Linked DNA regions of Drosophila melanogaster. The protein of the gene in region 1 interacts with the protein of each later gene in a pairwise test. Each region holds a gene or a part of one and is shown in the gene's direction. Other genes may lie near its edges. The genes, in order: AnxB9 and kst.

Region 1 (11,272 bases):
TAGTCATGACCCACAGCCGACTTGTCCATGCGGTCCTTCTCAACGCCAAACTTGCCCCCGTATCCGTATCCTGCGTTCTGATCCTTCAGCAGCTGCTTCTTCTTGTCCAGATCGGCCTGCTCCGTCTCCTCGCGCAGCTTGTCCATGCTAAAAAGAATAAAGAAAGGGAACAATGAACCCGATACCCAGTGTTTCGAGAATTTCGGATGACTCACTCGATGGTGCCTGCTGTGCGACCGCTGCCGTCGATCGTCTTTGATCCCCAGCGCTGCTCCTGCTCACTGACATCGTTCACGAAGTCCGGATCCGTCTCCCAGTCGTCGTCCTCCGCGGAGGCTGCACTGGTGGCCTGAATCTGGTGACCGGCACTTGCCTTCCACATTCTTTTTACCGGTTTCTGGTCGCTGGTTACTCGCTTATCCTTATCTGCTGGGTAGATAGATAAACACCATGACGAGTGTGAGTAGTCGGGGCAGGTTTTCAGTTGCAGGGGCTCCGCTTCCGATTCGTGGCCCAGATAACAAGTCACAAAACACCGAAGAAGGGAGGGGCCGACAAAGCCGGATCGGGAACAAGATGCCACTGGCGCTCTATGTTCATATGTATACTCACATCCCGATGACTAACTCCTACTGCAAGAGGAACTTATGATCTGATGCCGCTAGGGATGTCTGCAAATTTCTGGGAGGAGAAGGGTTAAACAATTGATTCATAAAGAGACCAACAAACGGGAAACTAACTGAACTAAATTTCATTCGATACAATGGATGCATCGATATGCTACGAAAAGCCGATAAATTATTGTGATGAGCTTGACAAAAGGTAGTTGCTGCAGTTTTAGGGGCGCCCAATTTAAATGATTAAGAGATACAGTCGTGGTTCTTTTACTTTATTCGATAAGTCAATGCACCGATATATACTGCAGTACCAATATATGTGATCGTGATCAATAGAACTGAGTGCTCGGGCAAAAGGTATTTGATGTTATACCAAGTGGCGCCATAGTAATTTGTATAATTAATAAGATTCTGCCAGAACGGTAATTAACAGGTATAAGAGTTGACTTTTTTCATATAACCGCAAACATATCATCGATATATCGATAGTTTTGGATTTGAATTTGCTTCGATGTCGGCTGACAATTAACGTAATTGGTTTTTATATATAGTTATAAAAATACAAATAAAAATAGTTATAAAACGGCTTAGGAAGGAACAGGATATTTATTTAACTGTATTGCCCTAACGGCTGAATATTGAAGTCAAAGGTTACATTTTGAAATTCAATGCGTAATCAGATCTTATTTTCCCAATGTCGTCATTATCACAACGGAAATATCATGAATGTCTCAACAGCTTCCAATGCCGATGATTCATCCATCTCGGAACACTTTAGATTCTACGGTGTATACTATGACGACGCAGAAGATACCAGCTTCCAGTTAGGCGCTACCACCGAATATTTCCTAGCAACAACAACCTATCGCCGGTTGGTTCATCTCTAATCGACTTCCAGCGAGAGAGCGCGAGTATAAAAGCCAAAGACGGAGCGCAAACAGCTATGGTATTTATTCACATCGCTTGCAGTTCGCATCGTCTGACTTGTACGTTGAAAATCGAATATCATTGGTAAATCAAAAGGAATTTGTAGATAAAACTCATTGTTTACTCTCGCTGTGCCAGAAATCGCAAAAAATCAAGCGGAAAATCAGTCGGAAAAGTGAGAAAAGAAAGTGTGTGCTAAACACTCAAAGATAATTTTCATTTGTGCCATTCCAAAATGGGCATTTTGTAGAATTCTAGTTGTGGGTGCGGTATCGCGAGAATTCTCCAGAATCTTGTTTCTCTATTTACTTTATATTTCAATAATAAAAGCCTCGGGTGGGAGAAAAATTCAAAACCGAAAGATGACATCATCAAACTCAAAAGCAAAAGCCCCACTCTTTTGGCGTTTTCTCTCGCGACGCGTGTGACTTTTCTCATCTCCGACGAAATCTAAGTAAACTTTTCTGTTCCTTTCTTGCTTTCCCATTTTACGTAGGAATGAGAAGCGGAATTTTTCGAAATATCTCTATCCCCCAGTGCCCTGCTTAATTTAGTAATTCAATCAACTTCAATTGCCCGACAGGCACTTCAAACTACAGTAAGCACTGTGTATGAGCGCCTGTGCCTTGCTCAGCATTACTCACCGGAATCGGATGTGGCCACATTCCACCGTCCACAAAATATAGTAGTAGTGTACTCGAGGCCGTGCAATTATAGTAGAATAGGTGTGTCATCAAGGTTTATTACTAAGTGAATTGCTCAGTGCATTTGCAAAACATTTTTGAAACATTTCGAGGTACAGTCCATCGAGGTCTCCAAAAGAAGTTGGCAAAAGCTTTTGTTTATGGAGTTTTTCACACATGGTCACGAGCTATTCCAGTTTTTACACCTATATTATAATATCTCTTTTTTAAAGTCGTGCTCAGAGCTTAAAATTGACGTCACAAATCTGGTGAATCACTGAGTGCTGTAATTTCAATGTATCATCAGTCTATTTCAAGAACAACATTACCAGATACGCTATGCTAAAGCATATCTATCAATCTTGTTTTTTCCAGACCCCAACCACTTTTTATAATGAAACAAAAGAATTGTAATTAAGGGTGTTTTCAAACACAAATGTGTTTTCTACATTGAGGTCAAACTATTACGGAGAACTCCAATCAATATTTAGAGAGTCTAACCAATTATTATTGATTACATTATTCTCAACTTGCATTATAATTTATTTAAAAAGAAATCATATATTAACTAAAGTAGTCTATAAACACTAGAATCTTGAGTTTAATTGTACGCCATACGTAAAAGAACCGGTTTCAACGTTGGCCAAAACATTTTGTTTGTTTATAGCTCGACTGCAGAGGCGTTTGTAGTTGTATCTTTTTGTTAACTTTTTTGTTTTTTTGGATGGCGTCGCCACGTCAAGTCTTTTATAATGCTTTTTTCGGCTGCCTTTTGTTGACTTTCTACTTTGGCGGCAGCATAGAAAGGCAAACATGTATTTTCAGCACTGTCGCACTGTGATTACTAATTTGGGGAAGCTATCAAAAATCTCAATCCATTTATCATTAGGTAATTTGGCCCTATTGATTTTAGGGATTATGTGGACTAGTCCCTCGAGATAGTGTTCCACTTGACAACTGAAGTGGAGTGGTAGATCTAGAACGCAAACGGGTGACGAGTCAGACATTTCCCTGAAGCTTTCTCTTGGCCACAACCAAGCCGTGCCCGATGTTTTCCAAGCCAGAACGCAATGAGCTCATCCGTTTATGAGGCCACTTCGTGTGGGTTTGGTCTGGCCTATCACGAAACTGCCGCGCCATGCCATTTGGCTATCAGACGCACCCGGTTCCAAGGTTCGTTCCTCCGCAAACTGCGTACTGAAAAGTGGAAACTTTCACTTTTCCCCGGCAGTACGTTGAACTTCGATTTGGGCACCGGTCGGCAAGGAAAACTAAAAAAAAAAACATCTCGGTAAATAAACTAGGAAAAAAAATCAATGGGTAAAAATGCTCTCAGACCAGCGCCAGGCTGGCTACGGGGCGTATGCGTAATGTGAGGCTTTTACGAGTTGATGATGTCACCAGGCAGGAATTAACCGAAGGCCGGGCTTATTGGGTCTGGGAAACATAACGTATCCAACATTGCTGGGGGTTCAGTTTTCATCACGATTTCGGCGTAGCCATTATTCATTATGATTTCTCACTTCCTACTTACAGATTTTTCACAACAAACCAATCAAAATGAGTTCCGCTGAGTACTACCCATTCAAGGTGAGTTTACAATGGATTGTACTTTATGAGTCTGGTATAAATCAATTATTTCATGCGATTAGCGCCGTTAATGTAAAAAATCAGATCAAATTAGATTCAACAGATAGATGAGAATATCTTAATATTATTTTTTCTAAAACGTGTGTTGTTGTCAAGTAAGCAAGATTTTTCTCGATGCAATCTATAAATTATTACAACGACCAGATGCTACGAAATTATCTATAATTGGGCTATTAAATTATCATCAGAGGTGTATACTAGACAATCGTTGACAAACAAGTACCGATTGGTGGGAGAAGAGAGTGATAAGAGGGTTTCAGTTATGAGTTCCTTAGATAAGAGTCACAACGAAAAAAAAAGTCAATTTAGAAAGCTAACTTTATTGCAGAGGAATTCATGCAATACTGAGATAATACATGTAGGGAATAACCACATATGTATTTGTATTTAGAACAAGTGCCACTGAGTAGTGTTGAGTCATTTCTTTGGGATTACGTGCCCTGCATTAAAATACACCCAATTCTTCTTTGTTGTTACTCATTTGCTGATTGCCTATATTCGATTTGCAGTGCACACCCACTGTCTACCCGGCGGATCCCTTCGATCCCGTCGAGGATGCGGCTATTCTGCGCAAGGCGATGAAAGGCTTCGGCACCGACGAGAAGGCCATCATCGAGATCCTGGCCAGGCGTGGCATCGTCCAGCGTTTGGAGATCGCTGAGGCGTTCAAGACCTCGTACGGCAAGGACCTGATCTCGGACCTCAAGTCCGAACTGGGCGGCAAATTCGAGGATGTTATCCTGGCTCTGATGACGCCGCTGCCCCAGTTCTATGCCCAGGAGCTGCACGACGCCATCTCGGGACTGGGAACCGACGAGGAGGCCATCATCGAGATCCTCTGCACGCTGTCCAACTACGGCATCAAGACCATTGCCCAGTTCTACGAGCAGAGCTTCGGCAAGTCCCTAGAGTCCGACCTGAAGGGCGACACCAGTGGCCACTTCAAGCGGCTGTGTGTCTCGCTCGTCCAGGGCAACCGGGATGAGAACCAGGGCGTGGACGAGGCCGCGGCCATCGCCGATGCCCAGGCTCTGCACGACGCCGGCGAGGGACAGTGGGGCACAGATGAGTCCACCTTCAACTCGATCCTGATCACCCGCTCCTACCAGCAGCTGCGCCAGATCTTCCTCGAATACGAGAATCTGTCGGGCAACGACATCGAGAAGGCCATCAAGCGGGAGTTTAGCGGCTCCGTGGAGAAGGGTTTCCTGGCCATCGGTACGTTCTTATAGCATCCTATTCTTTAGGGTCCCTTCTAACTGATGCATTGCTCTGCAGTCAAGTGCTGCAAGTCCAAGATCGACTACTTTTCGGAGCGCCTGCACGACTCAATGGCCGGCATGGGCACCAAGGACAAGACGCTGATCCGCATCATTGTCAGCCGGTCGGAGATCGATCTGGGTGACATCAAGGAGGCATTCCAGAACAAGTACGGCAAGAGCTTGGAGTCCTGGATCAAGGTAAATACCGATTTCAATTACATTCATATCTGCGTGTGCTTGCCAGAACTTTCGATTCTGCACCCTGTTCAATGTGCCACTAACTCGCATTCGATTGCACCTGCAACAAATCCCATTAATTGTGGCTCCATCAAAGTTTAATAATCGTTCATCCAAGCTGGCTTCTCCTGTTGTTGTTACTGCTCCTTTGCCCAACACTTTCTTGCCGATTTCTGAAGCCATTATCCCTTCCCGCCCGATTGCTTCATTTGTGTGCATAAAACATTAAAACTTGGCATATTCTATATTTTTAGGGCGATACATCCGGCGATTATAAGCGTGCCCTATTGGCTATTGTTGGCTTCTAAAAAGAACCCCATCCAACAATAATTTATCTCTTTCGTCTGTTCCACGCTCTAAACTATATGCAAACAGAATGTACAAACAAAATTCCGATATCAAATAGTTGACAATGTATAGTTTTTGAATTGGAACACGTTTTAACGAAGACGCAGTGCATTTAAGTCGTAGAATCAGAACCCCAGTCTCGCATCCTGTTGATTATTATAACCATTGTGACTTTTATTATTATGACTATGCACGCCACATGCACATAATTGTATCTCTATAATTACTACACCTCAGGCTACTTGCATTGCTGTGTAGGTATACTTTCAGTTTTGTTTTGAGTCTCATTTGCAAGATATTTTAACTTTTAAAAAATACGAAAATAAAAAATACGAAAAAATGAAATACAAAATTCAAATCGAGTTTCTGTTACCTTTAGCAGAGGTCTCTGCACTGCTTGTCATGTAAATAACAGCGCTACATTGGGTCGCCTAACATCAAAACATTAAACATTAAAAAGGGCGTGGATTAAACCAACTTAAAAATCGATTTAAATGGGGCTAAATGAGTATATTAGCCCTCTTTAATTGTCTATATAAACTAGATCAGCAAGTGTATAAGGTATACAAACTGTTAAATATAGTTCAATTTAGATCTAAATATACTTGCACTGCTTGCTAAAAGTACATGTCAATTACATGTAAATATAATGTACATACAATTTCAAGATGTAAAACTTTAAATGTTATGTTAAATTTGAAAGACATTCATTTGCTGATCAGGTAGATATATAGTTGATTACCCCTTGGAGGAGTAGCTTCCGGCAATTAACCAAACCATAAGCCATGTATACAAAGTAAAAGGCGTTTAATGCTCTGACCCTCTGCTCTTTTCACGCTTTTCTCTACCCGTTTAAACGAACCAACAACAGGAGGATGCCGAGACCGATATTGGATACGTCCTGGTCACTCTTACGGCTTGGTAGACGGAAGCAGCCGGAATATCCGAATATCTATGAGCAATACCCCACTGTTCAAGTAGAAAATGCCAAAAACAAAAAAACGTTGCATTTCCCCAAAAAAAAGTATAACAAAAGCGAAGAACAAATGGAGTTGGTCTATATACAGTAGTTGTGATGTGTTCTAAAAATCCAATCTACAAAACGCTTAGTATTTTCCCTCTGTGCAATAACGTCTAACGTTCAACGATTATTTAACATTTTTACGTATTTTTATTTTGTATACATGTCTTTTTTTATTGTAAATTATGGCGCATCAAAGTCGTATGCGTAGTTTGTGCTTGTATTAACTAATAAAGTTGGCTTACACTCAACGGCAAAGCTGGGTCACATTCACCATCCACTGATCTCCTTTCCAGGACGACCTCTCCGGAGACTACAGCTACGTCTTGCAGTGCCTGGCCTCCTACTAAGGATTTCCTCGTTGGATCGATTGTTAACCATTCTATTTGTTGTAACTCTTACTTTAAGGCAAGCATCGTTTGCCAACTGTTTTGCGGAAGATTCATAGCCTATGTTCAATTCATAAATGCACTGTAAAATCGCGGTAAATAATTGGAAGATTTTTTCACTTATCTAGGGTAACCGAAACCAAGGGGGAATGGGTATTGGGGAATATTCGTTAAGGGGGAATGCTGTTTGGGTTTTCTACTTGGCAACTCGATCCTGGTAGGCTGCCCACAGGCGGTCGCGGTACGTCTGAGCCGCCTGCTTCGGGCTGCTGGCCTTCAGAATGCCCCTGCCCACCACTCCGATGTCGGCACCCCGCTCCTTGACCACATGCTCCGGACTCTGGTACTGCTGGCCCAATTGGTCCACGCCCTCGTCTATCTTCACACCGGGCGTCAGTTGCAGAAGTCCGGGGAAGGCAAAGGCATCGGAGGATTGGCATACCACACCGGCAACGAAATCTACATCGGCTCCCTCGGTTGCGATCTTGTTGCTGTTCTCCTTGTACTTGGCGTCGATCAGGTTGCCGCTGGCAGACATCTCCGCCAGCAGGAAGACGCCGCGTTCCTTGCCGGCTCCTCCTTCGCCAAGGCCCGCCTTCAGACCCTGCAGAATACTACGTCCAGGTAAGGTGTGGGCCGTGACCAGATCTGCCCAACTGGAAATCTTATAGATGCCCTTGCCGTACTGCAGGGACACCGTGTTGCCGATGTCTGCAAACTTGCGATCCTCCATCAGCAGGAAATTGTGCCGCTGGGCCAGAGCTTGCAGGTCAGCGATGAATTTATCACTGAAATCCTCCACAATGTCTACGTGCGTCTTCAGCAGGCAAATGTACGGACCGCACTTGTCGGCCACGTCCAGGATCTCATCGGCGTGTGTCAGGTCGGCGGCCAAGCAGAGGTTCGTCTGTTTGCTGGCTATCAGGTTGAAGAGGCGCTTGGCCACCGCGCTCTTAGCCAGATTGGCGCGATTCTCGTAGGTCAGTTTAGTGCGCTGCAAGTCGTTGGCTGCGGGGAAAGTGATGGTGATTAGTTAACACTTCAATTTTGAAACGTGCACGTAGACCTATCTTATCGCCTCTTCTTATCGCTATATGGTTGTTTTGTACCTATGCCAATTTTCTTCAATAGCTTCACACTTTGGCGATCCCAAAGTACATAACTCTTTTCAACTGGGAATCAATTTTGGCTATTGTTTATACAGTATCTTAAGAGTATATACAAAAGTTACTCCCCAAAGGCAAAGACGATGATTATGATGAGATTAGAATACTGTGACTTTACAGGTGGAAACAAAAAGCAAACCGGTTCCCATACATCTCATCAAAGCGCCATAAACGAAATGTGATTATTTATAGAAGATGGGCTTGATTGAAGGAGCAGGCTGGCTCTCGAGTGGGCTGATAAGCGTGGTGGCATAATTGAGTGCGGACCGGACACTGCCCTGAATCAGAATCACGTGCCGCATTCCCGGGAATGATCCGGTCCGATAGTGGAATCCAGATCGGCCTACCGCCGTTTATGGCGGTTGTATAACTTTATAGTAGCGCGACTGGAGCGCTCCCTAATTGAATTTGTTCGAGGCCATGTGCTGGCCGAGTGTCATGTACTTATTATCTATCTATGCATCTATCTATCTGGCAGATATCACGGGGATCTGGAGCATACGCACCTCTGACAACGTCGCCCTTATCGCCGCCGACGAAGGTACCATCGCTGTTGATTTGCACGGCGGCGATGTACTTGGCCACCGCCTCCACTGTGGACTTCTCGATGCGCCCGGCCTCGTGAAGTGTGTTCAGCAGAAAGGAGAGCGTGAAGAGCGAGTGCATCCGCACGCCGTGCTTGGCGATGTTGGCCACTCCGCCCTGCTCACGGTCTACGACGACCACGGCGTCGGTGACCACAATGCCCTCGCCTTGCAGATCCCGCACCGTGTCCAGGATGCTGGAGCCGGAGGTGACCACGTCCTCGACAATCAGACAGGTGTCGCCAGCATTGAAGATGCCCTCGACCAGCTTCTTGGTGCCGTACGCCTTGGCCTCCTTGCGCCGCACCAGCATGGGAGTTCCCTGCTGCACGGACACAATGGTGGCCAGCGGGAGCGCCGTGTAGGGAACACCGCACACGTGTTTGGCGCTCAGCTGCTTGTCCTTGATGTGTTCCACCAGCAGGTCGGATACGGTTTGCTGCGGGAAGACCAAGTTAGCTACTGCCATTGACATGGAGCACTAATCCCAAATACTGACCATCACATCCGGATAACTGACGATCACTCGGAGGTCGAAGTAGACCGGCGAATTTATGCCCACTTTCATCTTGAAGTCGCCGAACTTGAAGGCATTGATCTCGAAGAGCTTCAGGGCCAGGGCCCGCATTTTGTCGGAGTTCTGGGCAACCATGCTGGCAATTCTAAATCTCGATCTTAATTCTTCACACACGTGCTAGCTAGGCTCCAATAAGAACCGTCCAATTGGGAGTCTACGCTTTTTAAACATGCTGCCAGTGTGCACGTATCTGCTGTGACATTGGGGCACATTTCGAACACCCTAATTAAGGTACAAGTTCTGGTTGCGCCGCCTGGGTGGTTAACTTCGCTATGCCGCCAAACTTATCGAAGTTCAAATTATTATAAATGTCGTAGATTTTATCAACATTGGCTTCGAATTAATAAACGTTTATTATTAGTTATAGGGTAACAAAGTAGCATAAGTGTTAAGGTTTTGAAATAAACTATTTTGCATGTGAAATATTTCCCAAATTCATAAAATATATAACCTTTAGTTTCTGAGAAGTCTTAAGAAATTTCAAGGAAATGAATGGATGGATTATATACAATATTTTGTCCGCTGCATTGCTGTATTGTTCACTACTTAGCATTTGTAATCTGAAAGCTTTGGCTCCGCCCACAAACCCTTGACTGCAACTTCAAGGGGAGGAGTCTAGTCATTTTGCAACCACCAATGACAGTCCTGTAAGCTCATATTGCAAAATGAAAGCCAAAGCGCCTGCGTAAGTCAACAAAGTTTGCGCCATTCATTGAAACAATTCCAGATCCTTTGGCGCGTGTTTCCAAAATTTAGTTTCTTTTCGCTGGTCTCCAAATAAGTCGCAAATTTGTGCTCCAAAAGCGGCAACTTCTTAGTCGAAAAATCGGTTTTCTCTCAATCCATTTCTCGCCTGCGTTGCGATGGCCAGTTCAAGTGGTGAACCTGCTGATGAAGTGGCTAATAAGCGTCCTCGTCTTGTGGCTAATCCCAAGGCCACCAAAATAGTTGAACCCACACCGGCCAAGGTCACCAATCGGGTGCCCAAGTGCGCCCGCTGCCGGAACCATGGGATCATTTCAGAGCTGCGGGGTCACAAGAAGCTCTGCACCTACAAGAACTGCAAGTGCGCCAAGTGTGTCCTGATCTTTGAGAGGCAGCGGATCATGGCCGCTCAGGTAAGTTAGGATTTATATGCACGATGACAAGCAATCCTTTCTGCTTAATTGGCAATCATTGACATTACTATCCTCATTTTATGATTACTGCCCACTTGCTAACTTTAATGTCATCTATCCTGGATGGTAAAATCGCTATCCCAAAAATAGCTTTTTAAAAATTCGGTGCATTCGAATACAGAAAATTGCCTGGTTAGATCCATCCATAGACATCCAAACCATCCAGACCAGATATATTGCTCTAACATTCGGAGACTTTATTCCCAGTCCTTTAGAAAATTTCTTCTTGTAAAAACATATTCCCTTTATTAGCATTTACTTAAAATGACATATCAAATATTCTCAAAAGCCAAAAGTTTTCTAAAATAACTTCAGGATATTAATGTATAAATGTATAAGCATAAACGTAATTGTGTTTCATGTTGTATTGTTCGCAATGGATTCCGTGATCGATTTTTACTAGGTATAACTTTGAAACCCAATTTAAGCCTTTCGATTATAATTTAACTTGATTAATGTCACTGTTATATTTATAATTTACTAACCTGGGACGACAAACAAAAACACCTATTAGCAAGGGGAGCTTAAATTAACAATAGCACCGAAAACTCCGACATTTTCTTATATCGTGTTTTGTGACTTTGAATAACATTTTGGAAACATTAATTATTTTGGATTTCTGCGAAAATTGTT
Region 2 (8,335 bases), on another chromosome or scaffold:
ACGTGTTTGTCATGAGTGCTGGCTTATATACTTATGTACTATATATACAATATATACTATACAACCAGATATCACTTCGATGACTCAAACTTCGTTGAGCTTAAAATTTTGGGTTCACACGTGTGGCGGCTTTTATTGAGTCTCCCCCATATGCAAATCATCTGCGATTAAGTCATATTTTTGGCGCTATTCGAATGGGAAGTGGGTAGATGAAACTAATTAATCAGAAACCAGCTTTTTTTGGGAAAGAAAACAAACAGAAATACAATTGGTAGAACAGCTTAGCCTCGACTTTTGAATAGTTTGAAAGTTTCTGCTGGCTTTCGACAATTTTCTTTGTGTCATTCAAGTGAAAGTTTCCAGTTTTCCCATAAGAGATTAACGAACTTCGGTTTGATTGTTCAGTGTAATTATCGAGTTACATGGTCTGTTTCCGCTTATACGTTTGTAGTTTGTATCTCAAAATCTTAGAATACTGTTGTAGATAATCAATCAAAGCGATTTAGTCACACTTAACGCCCCTGGATCTGCGAAATCCATAATTGCCTGGCACTTCCCACCAATCAAAGGAAATCAATCAAAGTTCATAGCTTCTTGGAAACCTGTTCCTTAGCTCCTCTCAACTGTTACAGAAACCATCTGGTTTAATGGGCCTATATCCGCCATATCGAATCTTAATTACACCACAATTAAATGAAGACGCGTGCCTAGTTCCTCCTTGGTCGCAAAATTAATGGATCTTTCGTTGATTCGCATCTCCAATCGATTAAAATTTATTATGTATTTGGAACCGCCCTGCGTATTTCATTTTTAATTGATTTTCATTGTGCTCAAAGGATGAATTTAGAGAAATTTGTTTCGAGGAATTTGTGCTATATCTATGGAATCTCTATAAATCCCACCCGTTGTCATCTTCATTTGCTTCTTTTGTCCCCGGAGATTTCTATTCGTTAAAAAGTGATGTCATCGCTTGACTATTTAATTTTTGGATTCTAATCATGGCTCGATGGATTTTCCCAGCACGGAGAAAAGCGCTGAAAAACCGTTGAAAAGCGTCAATTGAAAACGGTTTTCATTGCCAAAGTCTCACTGAAAAATCAGTTAAAACCGCTGAAGCGGCGCCCCAAATAAACGAATCTAGCATTTGCATAATCAAATCCCAAATAAAAAGAACTCACGAAGGCAGGGAGAAAACCAATTCGAATTCGGTAGCCGGTGGCGCATGCGCAGAACCCTGAAGAATATAACGAATTTTTGGGGCTTTGAATCAAACTCAGATTCGAGGTACGATGATGTCATCAAAACAACATGGGTTGCGGGTGTATTTTGTGTGTCTATCGCATCGTATGTGGTACAGCCCCTCCGGGGGGCGTGACCAAATGCCAAAAAGCAATAATAAAGGCAATGGCCACGAGGAGCTGGGGGCTTTTGAGTGTGGCTCAACATTGACTAATTTTCGCAAATAACTTTTGGGGCACATCACATAGACACATAGATATGGACGGCAACACACGTCCGATCGTACCAGGCAAGTTAAAAAAAAAAAAAAAAAACATGAGCGGAGTGAAGCTCTCTATAAACAATTTCGATTTCAACAAAAGCAAAAGGCAACCAAGAGCCATGAAAGCAATCGACGAGCTATGTAATATTTCTTTGGCATTTGTATCGCTATGAGACAATAATCAGCCAAAATGTTTGGTAATCATTCGAAGCTCCACCCAATAATTTGGCTTTTAATGGAGTTGGGGTAATATTTGAATTTATTGATGAGAAAAGAGTGAAGATAGATATATTTCTGTTCATCTATCTATCTCATATTAAGTTAAGAGTATCATAAGTCTCTGTTCAACTTTAGCAGAATAAAAACGTAACTCTATAGATCATTTCCAGTTTAGATCTATTGTTTAAATTAAATCCAAGTCTGTGGCTCTTTCGTCTCCAGCTTAGCTGTTTTCTCTTTGAAATTGTTTGTTATTTTCTCTCGTTGATTTTAAAAAATTGTTTAGCATGCCAGGCACAAACAAAAGAATTTATATCACTGTGGGTTTCTACTTGTTGTGTTGTGTCAATCTGTATTCTTCTTTTCGACTGAGGCCAAAACTGAATTTTAATTTCCAGCCACTGATGAGGTAATTTTATGCGTAGAAATTTTTGACAACAAAGACCACCAATTCCCTAATTTGCCGAGCTATAGGTCTCATTATTTTCGGTTCAAAGCGGAGATGGCTGAAAAACTACGCTTTTATCAGACATATGCCATCACTCACGCAAAAGTAATTAAAATCGGTAACTACCTCGGATGTTATCTGAGTAGAAAAAGGTTGCCAAAAAAAGATGCCTAACTTCTTTTTGATATACTTTAAAGTATCATTTAATTCGGGATTTGCTAAATGATATGTGTGACTTAGCGTATGGGCCATAAAAATTAAGCATACAAAATGCTAAATGTTTATTGATTTATGCAAATTCTTACACAACTCCGAGGTTGTTGCACGCCTTGTTCATTAGCTAACCGTGTATGTGGAACACACAAGATCTAGAGAACACCGAAGAAGTTGAAAATCTATAAAAATCGTTTTCAAAGTGTTTGCGATGAGTGAAGTGTGGTGGTTTATAAATAGAAAGAGGCGCGGAATCCGAGTGTTCCTGCTCCCAGCTGCCGCGCATGTGCTGTGCTACCATGTTGTATCACAATTGAAGTAAACAGGATGCCCGGAATTCGAGCCTCGGTTCGCATTTGCCCCTGACTTTGCCTCTGCCGTCCTTTTCCGGCGACTTTAGTTGTATAAATAGTTTATGGCCAAAGACAGCTGTATGTGAGTTGGGGGATGCGTTCTATTTTGGGGATCAAGGAGGCACAGTTTTAATTGCTTTTCCTGCTAAGCCTAAAGTTATGCCGCACTCTGCATTTTCTAGGTTTTGTTTGCCACTCGATAATGATAAGCGTCGAACGTTATCGCGGTATGGTAAAGTTTATTGTCACACTGGTGTTGTTGGTTTTTTATTGTTTAGTTTTCACCTCTTTTTAATTGATTTTTCTATTTGCGAAAGCGAAGTGTTCTGTTTGCCAATTAGCCGCGAATGCCTTCCAGGTGACCTCAACGCCATTGGCGGCACATATGTATAGTAAATGATCTATTAGCGGAGTTATGACACCCGACCCGAGTAGACAGCAGATTATAACTCTTTGGCATGATGTCATTGGGAATGATCGAATTTGGCAGCTATTCTAAATGGCCCATTCATTAGTCTGCGGAATCTGATAGGGCGCCATAAATAACTTGATATTGGAAGTGCATTCCCCTCTATATATATGTATTTATTCCGAAAAACATATGTCCGAGGTATGCGGGATTTATGGACCGATAAGATAAGCCGACAGGGTCTATTGGCTGTTTGTCAAGGCAAGGATTTTCAGATACCTTAACCGTTTTCTCATACTGCTATCAGCTCGTGCGATAAAGGGAATTCACCATAGGCCAGTTGAAGCATTTTTGTTGCCACTCTTGGCATTTGGCTTTTAATTCATCTGATAAACAGAGCCAAGAGGGGGAGGAAGCTTTCCCCCACTCTACATTTTTGGGGCGTGCAAAATGTTGGGCACACATTGTTTTTAGTGACCAAACGGCGCGGGCTCTGCGAACATCTGACCGTAGGAACGAAACTTAGTGTCGAAATACAAAATAGAAATAAAAAACGAAAGATTAGCTTTAAGGAACGGCACTCGGTGCTGAAAGCCCGGATATCTTGAGAAACACCCTAGAAATCACTGATCAAAGGCCATGGAGTACAATAGTGTTCTGCGCTCGAATTTCTCGCGCAACGAGTATCGCCGATATATATCCTACGAACGCCAATCGTTGGGTAGGTTTCTGAACTTGAACTTTTCCCCTGGAAGCTCGCGATCATTATACAATCCCGAAACGAAAGTAACCTGCTCTTATCTATCTCAGTTGGGTGGAACTTCATATTTGGTTGATAAGAGCGCAAATATTTGGCAAATGAGTCAACGGCCTAGAAAAATGGTTTCGCTTTCTGCAGTTTCCGCTCCAATTTTGTTCACTTTTTAACATATTCTCTTGTCCAGTATTACGTAAAACGAACCGTTGATAAAAAAAAAGTAACAAAGTCGTGAAGCATTTTCCATAGGTATGAAGTAATTTTGGCAGTCGACAGATAAGCTCGCAGAACCACTATCGCTGGGCAGCGACTGTTTTGATTTCGATACGCTAGCTGGGGGTATATCTACTGGGTTGGAAAGTTGGTCACAGCTTGGTTTGTTTATAGTTGGTAGAGTTGAAATTATCTTACACTTGTTAGCAAAAGAAATTTAAAGATACCTTACTCTTTCATGAGGTAAAGTTACTTGAAATAAAGCAACAGATTGCTAATTTCTACATCTTAAAAATCTTTCACTATATTTTAAAATTCACTATCAAGCTTACTCAAAAAGGTGTTCACAATTTTGTTCAGCTAAGATCTAAATGTGAAACGCCAATCGACACATGGCTTATCTTAACGGGTCTAGAAAACAAAAGTACGTGATGAGGCGTTCGAATAAAAAGTGATTGTTGGTTCTTCGTTTGAAATACCCGTTGGTAATCTTTGACATTATGGGAACCCACTGATGGAATGATTTAAAATTAGGAATTACGTTTGACATAATCGAAAGACTACAAATAAACTGCCTTGGAATGTGGTTCTAACTTTAGCCAGGGATTTTTTTATAGAGGCAATTATGTTGGCGATAACTCGTTATCTCTAAATCAATAGGTTCGTACGTCACGGTCGTGCTTTCCCTATCTCTGCCACATACCTTTCGTATTTTTCCTCTATTTTCCCTATGCCCATTATTGATTTTGGTCTGTTGTCAGGTGGTTTGCCCATTTCTCTTTCCTGGAAAAAAATACAAAAAAAATGAAAAAAAATCAAAACAAACACTAAGCCTAAACGTTTCGCGTTGCATTTATATGACTTCGAACTAATCCGAGATTTTTGTTCCTCCTCCCTTCCCCCCACTTAGCATCACAATATGAGCCGGGAGGCTACTCCGCGCTGCAGACACCGACGCCTTCCAATCGCAACTCCGCCAACATGACCCAGCGGGACGGCATCATCAAGTTCGAGAACGAGCGGATCAAAACGCTGCAGGAGGAGCGCTTGCACATCCAGAAGAAGACATTCACAAAATGGATGAACTCGTTTCTGATCAAGGTGTGTAAACTACTTGAGTCACTCATCACTCCCAATACTTGTAATTTAATTACTATAAAGTACAAATGAAAGAAATGCTTTGTTTTGCTAAGCACATAAAGTTTTCATTGTTTAAATACTATAATTTCTCGATCAAAGTGATGTATTCAAATGAAAGCGCCATATGTATATGACATTCGAAATTATACATTCACTTGAAATTTTGATTGGAAGAAACTTTTATGGCCCCACCAATTTATGAATGCAACTCACATTTGGGCTTATCGTCTTCTTTGTAGGCCAAAATGGAGGTCGAAGACCTATTCACAGACCTGGCCGATGGCATCAAGCTGCTGAAGCTGCTGGAGATCATATCGTCGGAGAAACTGGGCAAGCCGAACAGCGGACGCATGCGCGTCCATAAAATCGAAAATGTCAACAAGAGTCTGGCATTCTTGCACACCAAGGTGAGATATGCCACATAAATGGCGGCGAGTGAAGGGAGTGAAGGCGTTGCAGTTGCTGGAAGACCAAAGACCGAAGACTGAAGACTGGAGAGTGTAAAGCTCTCTACGCATTTGTAGAAAGTGCAAGTCGCGCCTGCGCAGCTGCGCGTGGCCATTGCGTGCTTTGTTTGCCATATGAGGTGCACGGATCTGGCTGTTGGAGTCGGGATTTCGGATCTCGGGGAAGCGGGAAGTGTGAGGCGACGTCAAGACATGGCGAAAAAGTATATATTTAATTACCTAGCCTGGGCACCGCGTTTTCTTGGCAATATCTGAAATATTTGCATACTTTCTAATGCATTTTTTCCTTGACTTCACTTCACTTTGTTGCGCTTGGCACATTTTCCACTGCCGCGCTCATACTATACATGTGTACTTTCTTTGCACCTCTCGTGCGCATTTGATTTTAATTGAGCAAAGTGGGAGCTTAGCGTGCGACATAGTTTCGAATCTTCTGGCTAGTCAGGTGCCTCTGGTCTAATCTAATTAGAAGCAATTAAAACGCATCAAATTGTCCCACTGTCCAACTAATTCACTTTGTTTCTTAAGCGGCGAAGCAGTGAAAGTTTTCGGTTTTACTTTTCACCATTTCATTTCATTCCATTTCGTATTTCATTTGTTTTTCGGGCTTGTCTTTTGTGTGTGACACGGGTATTGAGTGCATTTTAATTGGTGTTTAGGCTTGAAAGAAGCCCGAGCGAAAGATTTACGCACAAGCGAGCATTCGATGGAGGATCCCTTGGGGACTCATTGAAGCGTTTAGCGGAGCACGACTCTTGGAATTTCCAGTCGCCATTAGGAGAACCAAAAGGCGTAGCTCCCTACTAAACATTAATGTACCAGAATAACTCGGAACGAGTCTATTAAAGCAAACGGTTTGTCGGGGAATAGGAATAAAGTTAGCTTACTGCCTTCTTATGAACTATTAAAAACGATAATCTGCCATACATAAATTATAAATGTATATATAATTTATGATTTTGACAATACTATTTAAATTCCTATAAATATGCACAAAATCGATCATAAATCTATGATTAACCCACCTCCAGATTCCCCTTTATCTGCTATGAATTTAAAAAGAAGCCGTAATTGGTTCTTAAAATTCTAATTCGTAAACTAGTTTTTAGTAAATGCTAAATGGTCTGCAGACGAGAGCTCTCCATCTCAATTTTCCACCTGGACATAAATCAGCAGCCAACCGCTGGCCACTTTGTAGCTATGATAATGCGATTTAGATCGGTATCAGCTAGTAACTTATGCTTTCCTCGCTGGGATTATCGTGCGCGTTACCTGTCCGCGCCCTGACCCACTATAAATGCAAATGGCAGGCGAGCGACCCACATGAACCCACCGGGGGTCAAGCACCTCCACCTGATAAAGCGTGTCTTGCTGGACAGGCGCAGACCCAGTTCGAATGTATCGGCATCTGTGGGATGTGGAACTCTTGGTAACCCAATACGCAGCTTACCCACTCCATTCACCAAACGGGAACTGAAAGAAATGCAGAAGAGATAGTGTGGAGTGGAGAATGGAAATAATGCATGATGGTTTCTTTCGTCTTAGGTCCGTCTGGAGTCCATTGGTGCTGAGGACATCGTCGATGGCAACCCCCGTCTCATTCTCGGTCTTATCTGGACCATCATTCTGCGGTTTCAGATTCAGGAAATTGAAATCGATGTGGTAAGTTGTCCCTTCGCAAGTCACATAGCAAAAGTGCTTAATTTATAATTCCAATTCGTTTCACTTAGGATGAGGAGAACGAGTCCAGCGAGAAGCGTTCCGCCAAAGATGCACTGCTCCTGTGGTGCCAGCGCAAGACGCATGGCTATCCGGGCGTCAACATCACCGACTTCACCAACTCCTGGCGCTCCGGCTTGGGCTTCAATGCGCTCATCCACTCGCACCGTCCCGATCTGTTTGAGTACAGTACGATTGTCAATTCGAAGAACTCCAACCTGGACAACCTTAACCATGCCTTTGACACGGCCGCCAACGAATTGGGCATTCCCAGGTCAGAATTTTGTAAATTATAAAAAATATGTCAATAAAATTAATTGTAATTTGTTCGCCCCCCTTTTAGCCTGCTCGATGCGGAAGACATTGACTCGGCCCGTCCCGATGAGAAGTCGATCTTGACCTATGTGGCCTCCTACTATCACACCTTTGCACGCATGAAGAACGAGCAGAAGAGCGGCAAGCGCATAGCAAATGTAAGTAAACCAGGGTCGGACCCGGCTTCAGCTATGAACCTGCCTATAAAGGTAGATGCGGATGCCATTGGCAGAGGCCCATCGTCTCTAGAAGTCGCTGCAGCGTAACGGTGTCCCACAGTTAACGCTCTACTTCACAATGGATTGGCCACCGATTGGATTCGGATTCCGATTCGGAATCAGATTCGGGTGGGGTCCAGACCTACACCTAGAAAGTCGCTCAACCAGCTCTCTTTTTCTACCCCTCCGCAGATTGTTGGGCAGCTAATGGACGCAGATCGCAAGAAGATGCAGTACGAGGGTCTGACCACAAACCTGCTGAGCTGGATCCGCCAGAAGACGCTGGAGCTGGAGCAACGCGACCTGCCCAACTCGCTGGAGGGCATCCAGCGAGAACTGCTGGCCTTCAAGGAGTACCGCACC

What was found.
Region 2: the proteins of AnxB9 (region 1) and kst interact in a two-hybrid assay, tested with the Drosophila melanogaster proteins (one study listed by BioGRID).

The regions. Positions count from the first base shown.
Region 1 is NT_033777.3:21,063,683-21,074,954, forward strand, and holds AnxB9 (annexin B9), read left to right. Parts: upstream 1-1,558; 5' UTR 1,559-1,719; intron 1,720-2,200; exon of another isoform or gene 2,201-2,269; intron 2,270-3,763; 5' UTR 3,764-3,787; coding exon 3,788-3,817; intron 3,818-4,386; coding exon 4,387-5,095; intron 5,096-5,155; coding exon 5,156-5,337; intron 5,338-5,630; coding exon of another isoform or gene 5,631-5,684; exon of another isoform or gene 5,685-6,072; intron 6,073-6,595; coding exon of another isoform or gene 6,596-6,649; exon of another isoform or gene 6,650-6,857; intron 6,858-6,874; exon of another isoform or gene 6,875-7,041; coding exon 7,042-7,095; 3' UTR 7,096-7,235; downstream 7,236-11,272. Other genes in the region: cortactin, read right to left, coding at 1-147, 216-382; r-l (rudimentary-like), read right to left, coding at 7,331-8,142, 8,807-9,323, 9,384-9,536; dmrt93B (doublesex-Mab related 93B), read left to right, coding at 10,325-10,579.
Region 2 is NT_037436.4:3,346,473-3,354,807, forward strand, and holds the start of kst (karst), read left to right. Parts: upstream 1-3,635; 5' UTR 3,636-3,782; coding exon 3,783-3,864; intron 3,865-5,023; coding exon 5,024-5,214; intron 5,215-5,492; coding exon 5,493-5,660; intron 5,661-7,265; coding exon 7,266-7,382; intron 7,383-7,450; coding exon 7,451-7,713; intron 7,714-7,782; coding exon 7,783-7,912; intron 7,913-8,164; coding exon 8,165-8,335.